Arabidopsis thaliana: one gene and its partner. The protein of the gene in region 2 interacts with the protein of the main gene of each other region in a biochemical or structural test. Each region holds a gene or a part of one and is shown on either strand. Other genes may lie near its edges.

Evidence for each region. Proteins that work in one complex are often made in the same cells at the same time.
Region 1: the proteins of GDAP1 (region 2) and ARF1 form a complex in vitro, tested with the Arabidopsis thaliana proteins (one study listed by BioGRID).

Annotation. Positions count from the first base shown.
Region 1 is NC_003070.9:21,977,313-21,984,933, forward strand, and holds ARF1 (auxin response factor 1), read left to right. Parts: upstream 1-2,026; 5' UTR 2,027-2,111; exon of another isoform or gene 2,112-2,307; intron 2,308-3,071; 5' UTR 3,072-3,101; coding exon 3,102-3,138; intron 3,139-3,343; coding exon 3,344-3,459; intron 3,460-3,714; coding exon 3,715-3,810; intron 3,811-3,916; coding exon 3,917-3,973; intron 3,974-4,071; coding exon 4,072-4,224; intron 4,225-4,309; coding exon 4,310-4,394; intron 4,395-4,547; coding exon 4,548-4,638; intron 4,639-4,716; coding exon 4,717-4,881; intron 4,882-5,106; coding exon 5,107-5,226; intron 5,227-5,316; coding exon 5,317-5,392; intron 5,393-5,511; coding exon 5,512-5,683; intron 5,684-5,759; coding exon 5,760-6,229; intron 6,230-6,375; coding exon 6,376-6,566; intron 6,567-6,712; coding exon 6,713-6,881; 3' UTR 6,882-7,121; downstream 7,122-7,621. Other genes in the region: MTR4 (RNA helicase, ATP-dependent, SK12/DOB1 protein), read right to left, coding at 7,259-7,537. UniProt on the Arabidopsis thaliana protein: Auxin response factors (ARFs) are transcriptional factors that bind specifically to the DNA sequence 5'-TGTCTC-3' found in the auxin-responsive promoter elements (AuxREs). Seems to act as transcriptional repressor.
Region 2 is NC_003074.8:22,778,932-22,785,686, reverse strand, and holds GDAP1 (GRIP-related ARF-binding domain-containing protein 1), read left to right. Parts: upstream 1-1,748; 5' UTR 1,749-2,044; coding exon 2,045-2,248; intron 2,249-2,392; coding exon 2,393-2,491; intron 2,492-2,575; coding exon 2,576-2,698; intron 2,699-3,039; coding exon 3,040-3,153; intron 3,154-3,346; coding exon 3,347-3,455; intron 3,456-3,534; coding exon 3,535-3,599; intron 3,600-3,698; coding exon 3,699-3,866; intron 3,867-3,986; coding exon 3,987-4,100; intron 4,101-4,208; coding exon 4,209-4,349; intron 4,350-4,563; coding exon 4,564-4,860; intron 4,861-4,940; coding exon 4,941-5,006; intron 5,007-5,090; coding exon 5,091-5,293; intron 5,294-5,387; coding exon 5,388-5,442; intron 5,443-5,495; exon of another isoform or gene 5,496-5,503; intron 5,504-5,538; coding exon 5,539-5,724; coding exon of another isoform or gene 5,725-5,814; intron 5,815-5,855; coding exon 5,856-6,050; 3' UTR 6,051-6,246; downstream 6,247-6,755. Other genes in the region: AT3G61571 (uncharacterized protein), read left to right, coding at 1,505-1,666; AT3G61560 (Reticulon family protein), read right to left, coding at 6,516-6,682. UniProt on the Arabidopsis thaliana protein: Golgi matrix protein playing a role in tethering of vesicles to Golgi membranes and in maintaining the overall structure of the Golgi apparatus.

The DNA.
Region 1 (7,621 bases), on a different chromosome or scaffold from region 2:
ATCATGGTACATAAATTTTAAAAAGAATCAATTTGTTAAGAATGGTATACCAACGAATAACAATAATTCAATCATATGTTAGGAATCATTTATATGTTTACCTATATATTATTTTGAAGATTTTCACTCAATGCAAAGATGAACCTCAAAATTACTTTTATCAATGACACATTTTTAAAGAGAAAATATATAAAGATATGAAAGTAGTCACTAGGGACTATGTAATCAATTGTGCTATTTACTGTTTAAACACACTAAAATATATAGTTTTAATGTAATTAAGTAATCCTACAACTTTCATGTGAAAATTCCTAGTCAAATATTTCACGTAGTGAGTTATTTAAAGTAAAACAGAATAATAGGTATGCTTATACGGGTCGAGTTGCTTTATTATGAATATGATTATATGAATCAAAGGATATGAATTTATATTTATCAAGTTACCACGTTACGACCAAATTTGGGTTATGGGTTTCAAATCTTGAACGGTTCATGGTATTCCGCCGCTTTTGTCCTATCAAGTATGGACACATTTTTCAAAAGTACGCTGGTGCCGAAGTAGTTTGTTGTGGCCTTGGTTAACTGTACCATTAATGCGTGTTTATAAACTACATGCTAACTCTAATAACTTCTCATACATTCACATCAAAGGACGATGAGCCTCATATACATACATAGTGATCAGAGCCATCCTCTAAGCAAAAAGACTATCCTTTTTAAAAAAGAGAATCATATTAAGGGCAAAAATTAACTTTCAAAAATAATTGGCCAAGAAGCGATGACTAATGTTTTTGCCAAAAATAAAACAAAATCTCAAATCTCAAAGCCTGTTTCATATCTCTTTTAAGAAGAGAGAAAGAAACTTAGGATTCCAGAACTAAACGTCGAAAGTTCTTAGATATCTTATTTCAAAGGGTTCTCCTCTGTCAGAAATTCTAGAATAACAGATTATTTCATCTTAGGTGGACTGTCATTTCTTCTAACTAGGCTAGTAGCAAATCATTATGCCCAATTTAAAGCTAACTCGCTCTCCATCTCCATTCGATTAGATTAGTAGTTAACTTTAAACCACCAAAAAATTTTATACATTTATTTGTTAGAGAATATTTGGAAGAATTGGGTGGTCTCGCTTTGTGCCGCTTTCTTAGCTCAAGGATTTTTGGATTCTATCTACATGAACTTCGTTATCAATTTTGATGCTTGATATTTTTGCCTAGAGTGTTTCAGTTTTTTTGTTTTTCTTTTCTTTTTCTAGCAGAATTGTCACATGTTATATTCATATTTTGAGTATTTTCTAAGAAACAATTAGGATGCTACATAGACATATTTTTGAAAAGAATTAAGAAAAAGTAATAGGTTTTGGAATTTTGCAAAACAAGCGAGAAGATGCTACACTTGATTGTTTTCAACAAAAATACCCTCAGAAATAATGGATGAGATTCACATGATAGCACTAAATCGCTACAAAATCTCTTCACTAGTGTCTCCTCCATAGTCAAATCCGAGCTCCAGATAAAAACATTACAGATTCATATGACAATATTAATTTTGTCACTCATATGAATTTGGTTAAATATATAATCTAATTTGAAAATACAAAAATCATGATTCATGATGCACCTTTCAATTCACATAATGTTGAAATACAGAAAAAATAATTACTCTCTCATTTCTTTATAATATAAGTTTTAGAAAGAAACCAAAAATTGTCTCATAAAGATAAATGTAGATTTTTTTTTAATTTTATCTCCTATTAACTAGGGTTGAATTAATAAAACAACTAATGAATATTTATTAAACACGAATATATTTGTAGTAGTAAAAAAATTCTTAATATGTATGCAAAGTCTAAAAACATACAAGTTCACTAATCTCTACTAAATTAACAGCTAAACCCAATAAATCCGTTAATTATGGCTAGTTTAGTGAATTTTTCTCAAAGAAAAGCTCTTTTTTCAAAGTTAAGGAGACTAGAGAGCAAGTCATTTGCTTGTGGTTGGAAACAAAAACCCAAAGCGACGACACAATTAAAAAAAAATATAAAGAGGAGAGGAGAAAAAGAGGCAAGCCATAGCCAAAGGGTTCGTGTCGGCTTCAACCAAACACTGACGGTGTGTGTATACACCTTTACATACACACCTTTATCTCTCTCTCTCTCACATCTTTGTTACAAATCAATCTTCTACTGTTTTCTTTTTCCTCTTCTTACATTATTTTTTGACAGCAATTCTTAGTTTCTCTTCTATCCCCTTTCTGGGTTTTGTTTGAACCCTAGCTCGCTTTGGATCCAGTGGTTTTAAGTTAAAGGTTCGATTTTTATTTCTGGGTTTTGCTTGTTTTGCTTGGTTCTGCTTAGTAAATGTTGGAAAAGGAGGAGACTTTAGAGGATCTGTAGTCAGATTTGAGCTGGGTTTGTCGATTTTACTAGGATTTTGATTTTGGGGATAATCTAGATCAGGAATCGTTACTTTGTTTCATATCCAAAATTCAACTCTTTTTCTCGTTCCTGATCTAAAAATCGTTCCTTTTCAAGCTTTCTAAATGAGGTTTCTCTTTGGTGGTTCTGAAATTTTGTCTGTAGCTGTTGTGTTCTTCTCTTAGATTTGATTCTGTATGATAATTTTAGGTTCTGAGTTTGAAGTCTTGTCATTGTAGAGATGGTTTTAGTAACAGTTTTGGTGTTGCTTTGTGTGAAGTTATTAAGGACTAAAATCTGTTCATTTTTGGTATGTTATTGAGCAGGTTCTTGTCTTGCTTTTGCTTTATTTGTTCTTTCTTTTTACCTCTTTGTTTGAGTGATTATTGGATTTTCTCTTCAAATTGGGTAATAAAATTTTGAGAATCTGAGTCTTGTGATGTGCTTTAGACACAATGTAGAACAAAGCAGTTACATAAATGGCCCACATTTTTGTCAGTAAATTTATGAATGGGGTTTTAAATGTTTCTACATAATAACATCTATCAGAGTTTTGTTTGTCTAAATTAGAGGAGGATAGGTCCATCTTCTTCTTTTCTCTTTCAGAATAACATTTCAATCTTATAGTTTTCTCTTCTTTTGTTTTGTTGCCCAGGTAAATTTATCGAAAGTAAGTAGATTCCTAATGGCAGCTTCCAATCATTCATCTGGTAAACCTGGAGGTTCGTGGAATATTTCTTGTTTTTATACCATTCTTTGCTATTTTCTACTGGGAATCCACTTTCTAAGCTTGTTTGGGGATTCTGCATAACTTGAAATGGATGATTAAGAACTGGATAAGGGTTTTAAAGCCTTGGAGATTGCAACCATTGCTTTGTTTTTGAGATATATTGTTGCGTCACATAACCCATATCTGTTTCTTTGTAGGAGTTTTAAGTGATGCTTTATGTAGGGAGCTCTGGCATGCCTGTGCTGGACCTCTTGTAACCCTACCTCGTGAAGGGGAACGAGTTTATTATTTCCCTGAAGGCCACATGGAGCAGGTTGGTTATTGGGTTGAATCATTTAACATTATCATTTGCTAAAGCCGGTTATGTTAATTGGACTGTTATTACTGTGTCAACTGTCGCTTCAAAATACCTTGTTGGTGCTTTCTAGTTTAAAAGTAAAATCACAAAACATGTATTGTTGTATAGAACGGATAAATGCACTACCTGTTTTGATTTCACATGATTATTGTTTCTTTCATCTTATCTGATTATCACATTTATGCATTTAATTGGTCACTTCCTGTGCAGCTCGAGGCATCAATGCACCAAGGTTTGGAGCAACAGATGCCTTCCTTCAACCTCCCATCTAAGATCCTCTGTAAAGTTATCAACATCCAGCGCAGGGTAGGCTAAATTCCATGATATATGATAAAAGTTTCTTACCTTTTCTTCATGAAATGGGTTGGCTAAAGAATATTATACCTTGTTGTGCTTCACTTTGCAAGCTCAGGCAGAGCCCGAGACTGACGAAGTATATGCGCAAATAACCTTATTGCCAGAACTGGATGTAAGTAAATTTTGATGGTTTGGTGTTTCACAAAAAACGGTTCGGTAATTTTTTTTCCTGTACTTGATTTTGGTGAAACTATTGTGTTTGGTTATCAGCAAAGCGAACCCACTAGCCCAGATGCCCCTGTTCAAGAACCTGAAAAGTGCACCGTACATTCATTTTGCAAGACACTAACTGCTTCAGACACAAGCACACATGGTGGCTTCTCGGTGCTACGGAGACATGCAGATGATTGTCTCCCACCCTTGGTCAGACTTGCTTCCGGTGTTCTGGTTGCTTTTTGGAAACATCTCCACTGCTATTTTGTGTAACAGTTTGCTTTCTCTTTTCTAGGATATGTCCCAACAACCACCGTGGCAAGAATTGGTTGCAACTGATTTGCACAATAGTGAATGGCATTTTAGGCACATTTTCCGAGGTTAATACACTTGGTATCTTATTATGAGATGGTCTTTAAACTGTGGTTCCTTTACCCCAATGCTACTGCTACTGGGAACCTTTAAAGCTTTACATAATTTTGCATTAATATTATTGTTTCACGTTTGTTTTAATCATAAGGTTGTGACTACAGGCCAACCAAGGCGTCATTTGCTAACAACTGGATGGAGTGTTTTTGTTAGCTCGAAGAAACTAGTGGCTGGTGATGCTTTCATATTCTTAAGGCAAGCTCCTCATTTCATTCGTCTGGATATTATTTTTGCCACATACGGCTGGACATGTGACATAGTATTATCTTTCAGGGGTGAGAATGAAGAGCTCCGAGTAGGTGTTAGGCGGCACATGAGACAACAGACTAATATCCCGTCATCTGTCATTTCAAGTCATAGCATGCATATTGGGGTCCTTGCAACAGCAGCTCATGCCATTACAACAGGAACAATCTTTTCTGTCTTCTACAAGCCAAGGTCTCATCAAATGGTCCAAAACACATCAGTTGCTGCATCAGACTTTCAGCTCCATTTAGAAACTGAAAATTTTGCTATGTTAGATTTATTTAGCCGGTCTGGGACGGACACACCAGCCATTTTTTAATAAATATGCATCTTATTCCATTGAGTTACTGTTGCCTGCATATGCTTGATGATAATCATTTTGCTGCAAATCCAGGCTGACATATCTTCTATTATCAGGACAAGTAGGTCAGAGTTTATTGTGAGCGTCAATAGGTATCTCGAAGCTAAGACCCAGAAGCTGTCTGTAGGCATGCGTTTCAAGATGAGATTCGAGGGGGAAGAAGCTCCCGAGAAAAGGTATCAAAACTAACTATATTGTTTTCTTTTTGCTGATAAAGCTGAATATAACTTCTAGTCTTTTTTTTTGTGTGCGTTTTAACTATGCAGGTTCAGTGGCACAATAGTTGGTGTTCAGGAAAATAAGTCTTCGGTCTGGCATGATTCTGAATGGAGATCGCTAAAGGTTAGAATATTCTACTGTTATACTTTGCAGTGGAGCAAGTTGTGGATTTGTATTTTCTTAGTTGAATGAATAGAGTGATGCATCTTAATATGCTTATTGGCAATCTGATCATGCTTCAGGTTCAATGGGACGAACCCTCATCTGTATTTCGTCCTGAAAGAGTTTCACCTTGGGAACTTGAGCCCCTAGTTGCAAATAGTACTCCGTCTTCACAACCTCAGCCTCCGCAAAGGAACAAACGACCAAGACCTCCTGGTTTACCTTCACCAGCCACTGGTCCATCTGGTCCTGGTATTCTGTGTTCTTTTCTCTTTGAACTGTTCTTCTTTGTGGCGGCTCTTGCTCTTTTTATTGATGCTCTCTTCAGTTACTCCAGATGGTGTGTGGAAATCCCCGGCAGACACTCCTTCCTCAGTGCCATTATTCTCTCCTCCTGCCAAAGCTGCTACGTTTGGTCATGGTGGGAACAAATCATTTGGAGTATCTATTGGATCAGCCTTTTGGCCCACCAATGCAGATAGTGCAGCTGAATCCTTTGCTTCAGCGTTTAACAATGAATCTACTGAAAAGAAACAAACTAATGGAAATGTCTGTAGGCTTTTTGGGTTTGAGCTAGTTGAAAATGTTAATGTGGATGAATGTTTCTCTGCTGCCTCTGTGTCTGGTGCTGTCGCTGTAGATCAACCTGTCCCATCCAACGAGTTTGACTCTGGCCAGCAATCTGAGCCATTAAACATCAACCAATCTGATATTCCTTCGGGGAGTGGTGACCCTGAGAAATCCTCTTTGAGGTCTCCTCAAGAATCACAAAGTAGACAGATACGTAGCTGCACAAAGGTGTGACTATTAGCCTCTTGTATCGCTCGCTCTTTCTTTGAAGATCAATTTTTTTTGTCACAACTCCAATATTGGTCTTAAATTGGTGGACCGTGTCTGCGGCTTGCTTTTGACTAAAACGCAATGTTTTTGGCAATTTGATTTAGGTGCACATGCAAGGCAGTGCAGTAGGCAGAGCTATTGATTTGACAAGGTCAGAGTGTTATGAAGATCTGTTCAAGAAGCTGGAAGAGATGTTTGATATCAAGGGTGAACTCTTAGAATCTACCAAAAAATGGCAAGTCGTTTACACCGATGATGAAGATGACATGATGATGGTTGGTGATGATCCATGGAAGTAAGTGCATTTGCTGTCTAATACTCTAAATTTTGTTTGGTGTCAACAAATAAAGCAGTGGTTAAAATTGCAAAGCATCATCTGCTGTAATGTGTCCTTTTGCTTTACCGTTGATGATCATTTTGGTCTTCTCTTTTGTGCTGCAGTGAGTTCTGTGGAATGGTGAGGAAGATATTCATCTACACACCTGAGGAAGTGAAGAAACTTTCACCGAAGAACAAACTCGCAGTCAATGCAAGGATGCAGCTCAAAGCTGATGCAGAGGAAAATGGGAATACAGAGGGCAGATCATCATCTATGGCGGGATCAAGATGAGTATATCACTGTGTTATGTTTTAAATGTACTTGCCACGTAGGAAATATGAAAGCAGAAGCAAGAGATCGTTAGACAATATGAAAGTTGAGATGTCTGTGTATAGCAATGAAGTTTTATGTCTTCAAGTCTTATGAATTCACTTAGATGCAATGTGTTTTGAGGAGTTGTGTAGCTTTTGTACGGGAAATATGGAAATTAAGTTTCACGTCTTGTTCTACCTTGAACAATGGTCATGGTCAAAAATAAAATTATGATAAATCTCCTCTTGCTTTATAGTTCTTAGTACACATTATAAGACTTTAAGAATAAATGATGGTACAAACAAAATTCGTTGCTTTTGTTATAATCTTGTTGCCAGGATGAAATAAGCACGACATCACAAGTAGAGAGACGCCGCGAATACAATGTCTCTTTTGATCTTGGAAACAGCTTCTTCTAGTTTAGCTTCAAGCTGTGTTTCTCCTATAGATTTTGCAGCTACTATGAGCTGTTGCAGAACTTCCTCCATTCTCCTTATCGCTCTGATCAAGCTCCCTTCGAAAACACGAGCAATCTCCATGACCTCATAGAATTTGGACCCTTTTGCCCAAGCATACACCGCCTCCATTATATCAGGTCTGAAAGACTGCACAAAACTCTCCACGTCTATTTCGACCTGTCAATGTCATAAAAGACAGAAAGTTATGGACCAAAGCCTCTTCAAATGGTCAAATTCACTTTTAGCTGAGCAGAGAGAATA
Region 2 (6,755 bases):
AGTAATGTCAACATTAAGAAAATAAATAAGAGTATCACCAAATGCCAAAACCGAAAAAGAAAAGTATCCTCTAATTGTGGTCAATAAAGCCTTATTCTTTTACAGAAAAAAACAAAAATACAGGTTTTACCTTTAAAAATTTCATTTTTACTATAAATTACCCGAATATTAGCATATGTGTTGAGTCATGAGTGATATGGAAACATAAACTAACCTAAAGTTTATGAAATGTAAAATTTATAAATAGAAGCATATGGTTTTTACGATATATTGATGACTTTTGGCATATTCCGTTTTATGTATAGAAAGATTTTTGAATGCAACCAGCACCGTCCATGTTGTCTAACTGCTTCTCAAGACTTGGTCTCAAAGATACACAGCTGTTCTCTTCCATATCTTTTTCTGATTTATGGTTAACTCTTCCAAGATATTTTCTTCCTCAAGTGGGATATCTTTATTTTATCCATGGAGGAGAATAAAAGTCAGATAAACACATTGATAATATTACTAAAAGAACAAATTAAATAGCAAAAGGGAGGGAAATTGCTCAACTGGGAAATAAGAAGACTTTTTTTTTTTGTTTGGTGTAAGGAATACAAAGAAGACTTGGGAAAGCAGTGGGAAGATGGTTGGTTATTCATTTTTATAATATAGGAGATACTATTTCTGATGTCACTTTTGTTTATAAGTAAAATTATAAAATGCATACGATTCGAAGCCTACAACGTGTGACAAATGAAAATTGGTGCATATATTTTGTTTTGTTTTCAAGAAGATAATTACGAATGCCAATTTTGTAGAAGAAGATATTTTGAAGTTTTGATGTTCAGTCAAATGAAATTTATTTGGGCCTACACAACGGGTTGGAAAAGGGGTCTTGATCTGAAATCTTAATTTGAAAATGGGCCTTATTCTGGAAACTCAAATCCAAAAGGGCCGCGATGAAACCTACATAGTATATACATTACATATATAGATAATTGGATATATGGAAATGATTTCCTAAATTCCTAATAGTTCAGAACCGTTGATTTAGAAAAAATTAAGAACATGTACGGCCTTAAATAGGACGGTCTATTACAAATTTATACCGTATATGTGAATTTTCCCTTTTCTAAAATTATGTTAATGTTAAATTTTACTTTCTTTTTTTTTTCCGTTTTTTTCTCTTACGTCCTATATGAACATTGAACGGGTAGTGCCTGAATAAAAAACTTTAAAGAGCACATTCAAATTTGATAAGTCGTCATTCTATATTTTTCTCTGTAATTTCTCGTATAAAAAAATATGACTAGCGCAGATAATGAGATTTTGAGGTTGAGGCACGAAAGGTTGATGAAGATGTCGGAGAAATTGTTGTACATGATGGATTATGCTGACTCACAAGTGGAAAGGTTCAAGTCGATATTGACATCGCGTGACGATCCACTGGCTTCGTTTTGTGCGGTGGTCGTTTGTCTTGTCGTTTGCTTGGTTCCATTACAGATTTGGTTTTAAGTTTTGAATGCCCAGTTGGCCTATTTCCCAGTTTCTTCGCAGTGACATACCAAGTCGAATCTACAACTTCTTCAAAAGTTTGCCGCTGACCAAGGCAGAGCTAGACTTTCCAAGTGAAATCAACAACTTCTTCACAATGCCTCCGACCATCGAAGAGCACATGTCCTGACAGATTTTGCAACGACGGCTGTTGTGTTTGTGTTTTTTTGTCTAAAGATTTATTTTGACGTCTCATATTTATCTATTGGGCCTTTGTTTTTAAAAGCCCATTAATAATAATAACTTGCTACGAGTAGCGATTTGTTTTAAAACGTAACGATAAGAGTTAATTAATTAATGAATACGCTAATTCAATATGATCTAAACATTTATTTCAATTCCAAATCTCTTCTCTCTGACCGGGAAAAGAACACGAAATTCATTTCTGCTTATTGTTTATCTGCGCTCAATTCCGACGAAGATTCATTGTCTCTTTGATAGACAAGTGATCTGTGTTTTTGTGGGGTTTTTGAGCCTTTGAGGCTGCAGTAGGTGTTGAGATAGAGCTATGTGGAGTTCAATTGAGAATATGAAGGCGAACTTGCACAAGATCGTTCTCGATGTGCATGAAGACGACGAAGAAGAAGACGATCTCCACAAATATGGTTCCGCCAATGGCGTATCGAACTCTGATCGGAGGAATTCCAGTGGTTTTAGGTCCGTTTCGAGGTATTCGATCTCCAATGGAATTGAATCGCCTGCTCATCATGAGGTATTTGGTCTGAATTGGATAAATTTATTGCTAGATTTAAAGATTAAGCATCTGAATTTCACTGGAAATGTTACTCAAAATCTGTGATGTAGTTGGTCTAGTGTTAAGTTTGTTTTTATGATTCAATTTTGTGTCACATTTTAGATTGAGCGGTATAAGGCAGAGATTAAGAAGCTTCAGGAATCAGAATCAGATATCAAAGCCTTATCTGTAAATTATGCAGCTCTCTTAAGAGAGAAAGAGGTTAGTTTCTGACACACAATCTTCAAGCCATTAACTGTTTTTCTCTCTTTTTCTTACATCAAAGACCCTATGGGATTATTACAGGATCAGATTTCCAGATTGAATCAGGAGAATGGCTCTTTGAAACAAAATCTGACCTCAACTAGTGCCGCTCTTAAAGAGGCTAGAACCGACATTTCCAGGGGATCAAACAACTATGCTATCAAGGTAGACACTTCATATCTTTGTTTCATCTCTATGCGATTCTTTGCGCATACTGTGTGTGAAGGATCACGAGGATCATGCAACTACTTAAGAGTTGTAATGTGTGAAGCATGTTTTGGCATGGAACGCATTATTGATAGGATTGGTTATATGCTAAGTTTATTAGTGGGATTTACTAGGATAGAAAGCGTATTATGAGATCATATATTAGATCAAGAAAGTTTTGTCAACATCACTATTTTGATAAGTATGTCACATTTGTTTATGTGTTTATTTTGCTGAGAGATGCGTTCTTAAGTGAAGGTCTTAAACTATTCAATTAATTTGTTATTTATCTTCTCCAGGGAAACAATGATCAGTCACCCAATAGGCTACACAAATCTGTTTCGCATTTAAAAAGTCCAAACCATATGTCCAATGGAAAAGGGAAGGATACCGATTCGTTTATAAAGGAAAAGGTAACGCTAATGTTTATTTACCATTAGCTTAACATAAAAGCTTTGGGGTCTTGAAAATTGGTTGTCAGTAGGATACATACTTCTGAGATTCTGAATTTCTTTAGATACATCTTCTAATACATAAGTAATTGCTCTGCAATATTCTTGTTTGGTAAATACCAAATTATAAGCGATAAACTGGATGTCCTTTTAGGACCTTGCAGATATGCTAGAAGATAGAACCAAATCAATGGCAGCTGTTCAAGCTACGGAGCTTGCCAAAGAGCGTGAAAAATTAAGAGATTTTCAGCTATCTCTACAGGGTATATAATATCACTTGTAGCTTGGTGCTTCTTTTGTATCCATGTTAGCTAGTATTCTCACTTACCTTACTTCCATCAGAGGAGCGGAAAAGGAGTGAATCTTTCAAGGAAGAACTCGAGTCTATGAGGTTAGATAAAAACAAAGTAAGTCTTGGAGTTAGAAAAGACACATTTATTATTTTCTTAGGAATCACCATCTCTAAGTTACAATTTTCTTATTTTCTGTATTGAATCTGTTTGCAGACCTCCATGGAGATTAGCAAAATGCGTAGTGAATTGGATGCAAAATTACTTGAAATCAAACACCTGCAGATGAAGTTGACTGGTCAGGAAAGCCATGCTATTGGACCTGGCATGGAACATCTGAAAGAAGTTAACAAAGCTCTGGAGAAGGAAAACAACGAGCTTAAGGTTTATTGTGTTCCATACTGCTGAATGGTTGTGCAAGCAAAAATTGCCAACATTGTGTATGTCTACGTTGACTTTTGGAATCTGGAACCGAATCTGATATGCTTTTTCATCACTTCATAGTTGAAACGAAGTGAGCTAGAAGCTGCTTTAGAAGAAAGCAGGAAGCTAACCAATAGCAAAGTCTTCCCGGACGCCACAGAGTCTCTGACTAGGCATCCTAGTACTTTGGACAAGGTTCTTAAACTAGAAGGAACTTAATTATAAACGCATTTTGCATTGCTTTTCATTAAATGTGGAGCTACCTTTTTCCTTCCTTCTTATGCCGTTTCCATATTTTACTAGGAGAAGCCTGAAAGCTTTCCTGGAAAAGAAGAAATGGAGCAATCCCTGCAGAGGTTGGAAATGGATTTGAAGGAAACACAAAGAGAAAGAGATAAGGCACGGCAAGAATTAAAACGACTCAAACAGCACTTGCTAGAAAAGGTTAGCAGCTGTCGTAAAAGCTAATATTTTACTGAATCTATTAGTGTGGGACATGGTTACATTTGTTGTAGTATTATAGCTTTTGGATCATTATTTTGCAAATTATTTCGTTTTCTAGCTTCTAAGATTGTTATGAATTCAGCCGAGACAATATTTTCTTGATAATTTTCTGTGAAGATGATTGAAAAGTGTGTTCTTTGCCATAATTTCACAGGAAACAGAGGAGTCTGAGAAAATGGATGAAGATAGCCGACTGATTGAAGAACTCCGCCAGACTAATGAATATCAAAGGTCTCAGATATCACACTTGGAGAAAAGTCTTAAGCAGGCCATCTCGAATCAGGAGGATAACAGATTGAGCAATGACAACCAAATCCGAAAATTAAAGGACACAGTTGATGACCTAAATCAAAAACTTACAAATTGTTTGAGAACAATCGAGTCCAAGAATGTTGAACTTTTAAATCTTCAAACTGCTCTAGGCCAGTATTACGCTGAAATCGAAGCTAAGGTTGGAATTAGGAAATTCAAAAATCTTTCCTTTTCTATTCTTACTCTCAATTTATCAATGCGTTCGTATTCATTTTGTAGGAGCATTTTGAACGAGAGCTTGCGATGGCTAAAGACGAGTTGATGAAGCTTTCTGCTCGTTTGAAAGTAGGAATATAACTATCTTTTCCCTTTATAAACTACAACCTGCCATAACGATATCTGTCTGATGCTATTTTGCGGTTGCTGAAGGATTCTGATGAGCGGTTAGAGTCATCAAATAAAGAAAAGGAAGATGTCACATCCAAATTATTGCATGCGGAAAAAGTTGCAGCGGAATGGAAAAACAGAGTAACCAAGGTTGAAGAAGACAATGCAAAAGTACGACGTGTTCTTGAGCAGAGCATGACAAGGCTCAATAGAATGTCAATGGAGTCTGATTATCTTGTTGATAGGTACACCAATTAACACTTGGACATATATAGTTTCGATTCTCCTGTCTGAATTAGGTGTTCTGATGCAATGATGAACCAACATGTGTCTTTGCAGGCGAATCGTTATTAAATTGCTGGTTACATACTTCCAGAAGAATCATAACAAAGAGGTAATAGACATTGATATTATTCTGAAATCCAGTTTGTGACATACACATATGAGAAATGTCTCTGATATACTTCGGTTGTTTCATGCTTTCGCCTAGGTTTTGGACCTCATGGTTCGGATGCTAGGATTTTCAGAGGAAGATAAAGAGCGGATTGGAGCGGCAAAACAAGGAGGAGGTAAAGGAGTTGTTAGAGGCGTATTGGGCTTTCCGGGCCGCTTTGTCGGAGGAATTTTGGGTGGGAAATCTGCAGAGTTACATGCTAATGCAGCTTCTGATAACCAGGTAAAAGTCCTCCATAACATAATAAAGTACACTGATACACAGGCAAGTTTTGTTTTTTTTTGTCGGCTACACAGGCAAGTTTCACACTAAGAGAGATATTATTGTGTGTTTTTTTGGAATTTGTATTACAGTCTTTTGCGGATCTATGGGTCGATTTCTTACTCAAAGACGCGGAAGAGCGAGAGAGAAGAGAAGCAGAAGAAGCAGCAGCGAGTAAAGCCAAGCAAGATTCGGAGAGGACGAGACAAGAGGCGGCTTTGCATGATTCAGAGTTCTCTACTGTGCCTCTCAGATCATCTGAGAGTAATCAACGACTCTCGAGATAACTTCCTTAAAAGATGGTACATAGATAAACATTATACATACTTACATTTAAAATAGGAATTTGAACCTCTATTGAGTCTTTTGTTGTAATTATGATCTCACACCTTTGTTTGTTCGTCAATTTTTCTTTTGTTGATGTATGCTGCTGACTTTTTGATGGAAATTTTGATTGAAAGATTAAAATACAAAGTTACATCAGCTGGTACTGTGATTTTCTTTGTGAAAGGTTTTACCATTACATGAGCTAACGACTAATTGCATCTTTTACCAAAATTTGATTAACACAGCATTCACAGAAACCATTTTAAATCATTTCCCACGAAAAAGGTATTAGTCAAAATTAGAGAAGGGAAAACACAGAGTAACATTTTTTTTCTGAAGTAACAAATAAAAATGCCCCAAGACACAAAGCAAAACGTCAAGGGGAAAGATAATAAAGAGAGGGAGGTTGCTTCACTCTAAAGTTTTTAACCCAACTTTGCCTTAAGGGAAGCAACAGGAAGCTTAGAAAGAACCTTCTCATCAAACACCATGTAATGTTTCTTCAGCTCCTTCAACGTCTTCTCTGCCACTGGATCTACCTTGTCCTCATGTTTCTCATACAACATTGGTACTGTATGTAACACCACAAAACCTGTTTTTTTTTGTTTCCCACACACATGGAGATAATTTCAGACTCAAACAAACAAAAAGACGAAACTAAAACC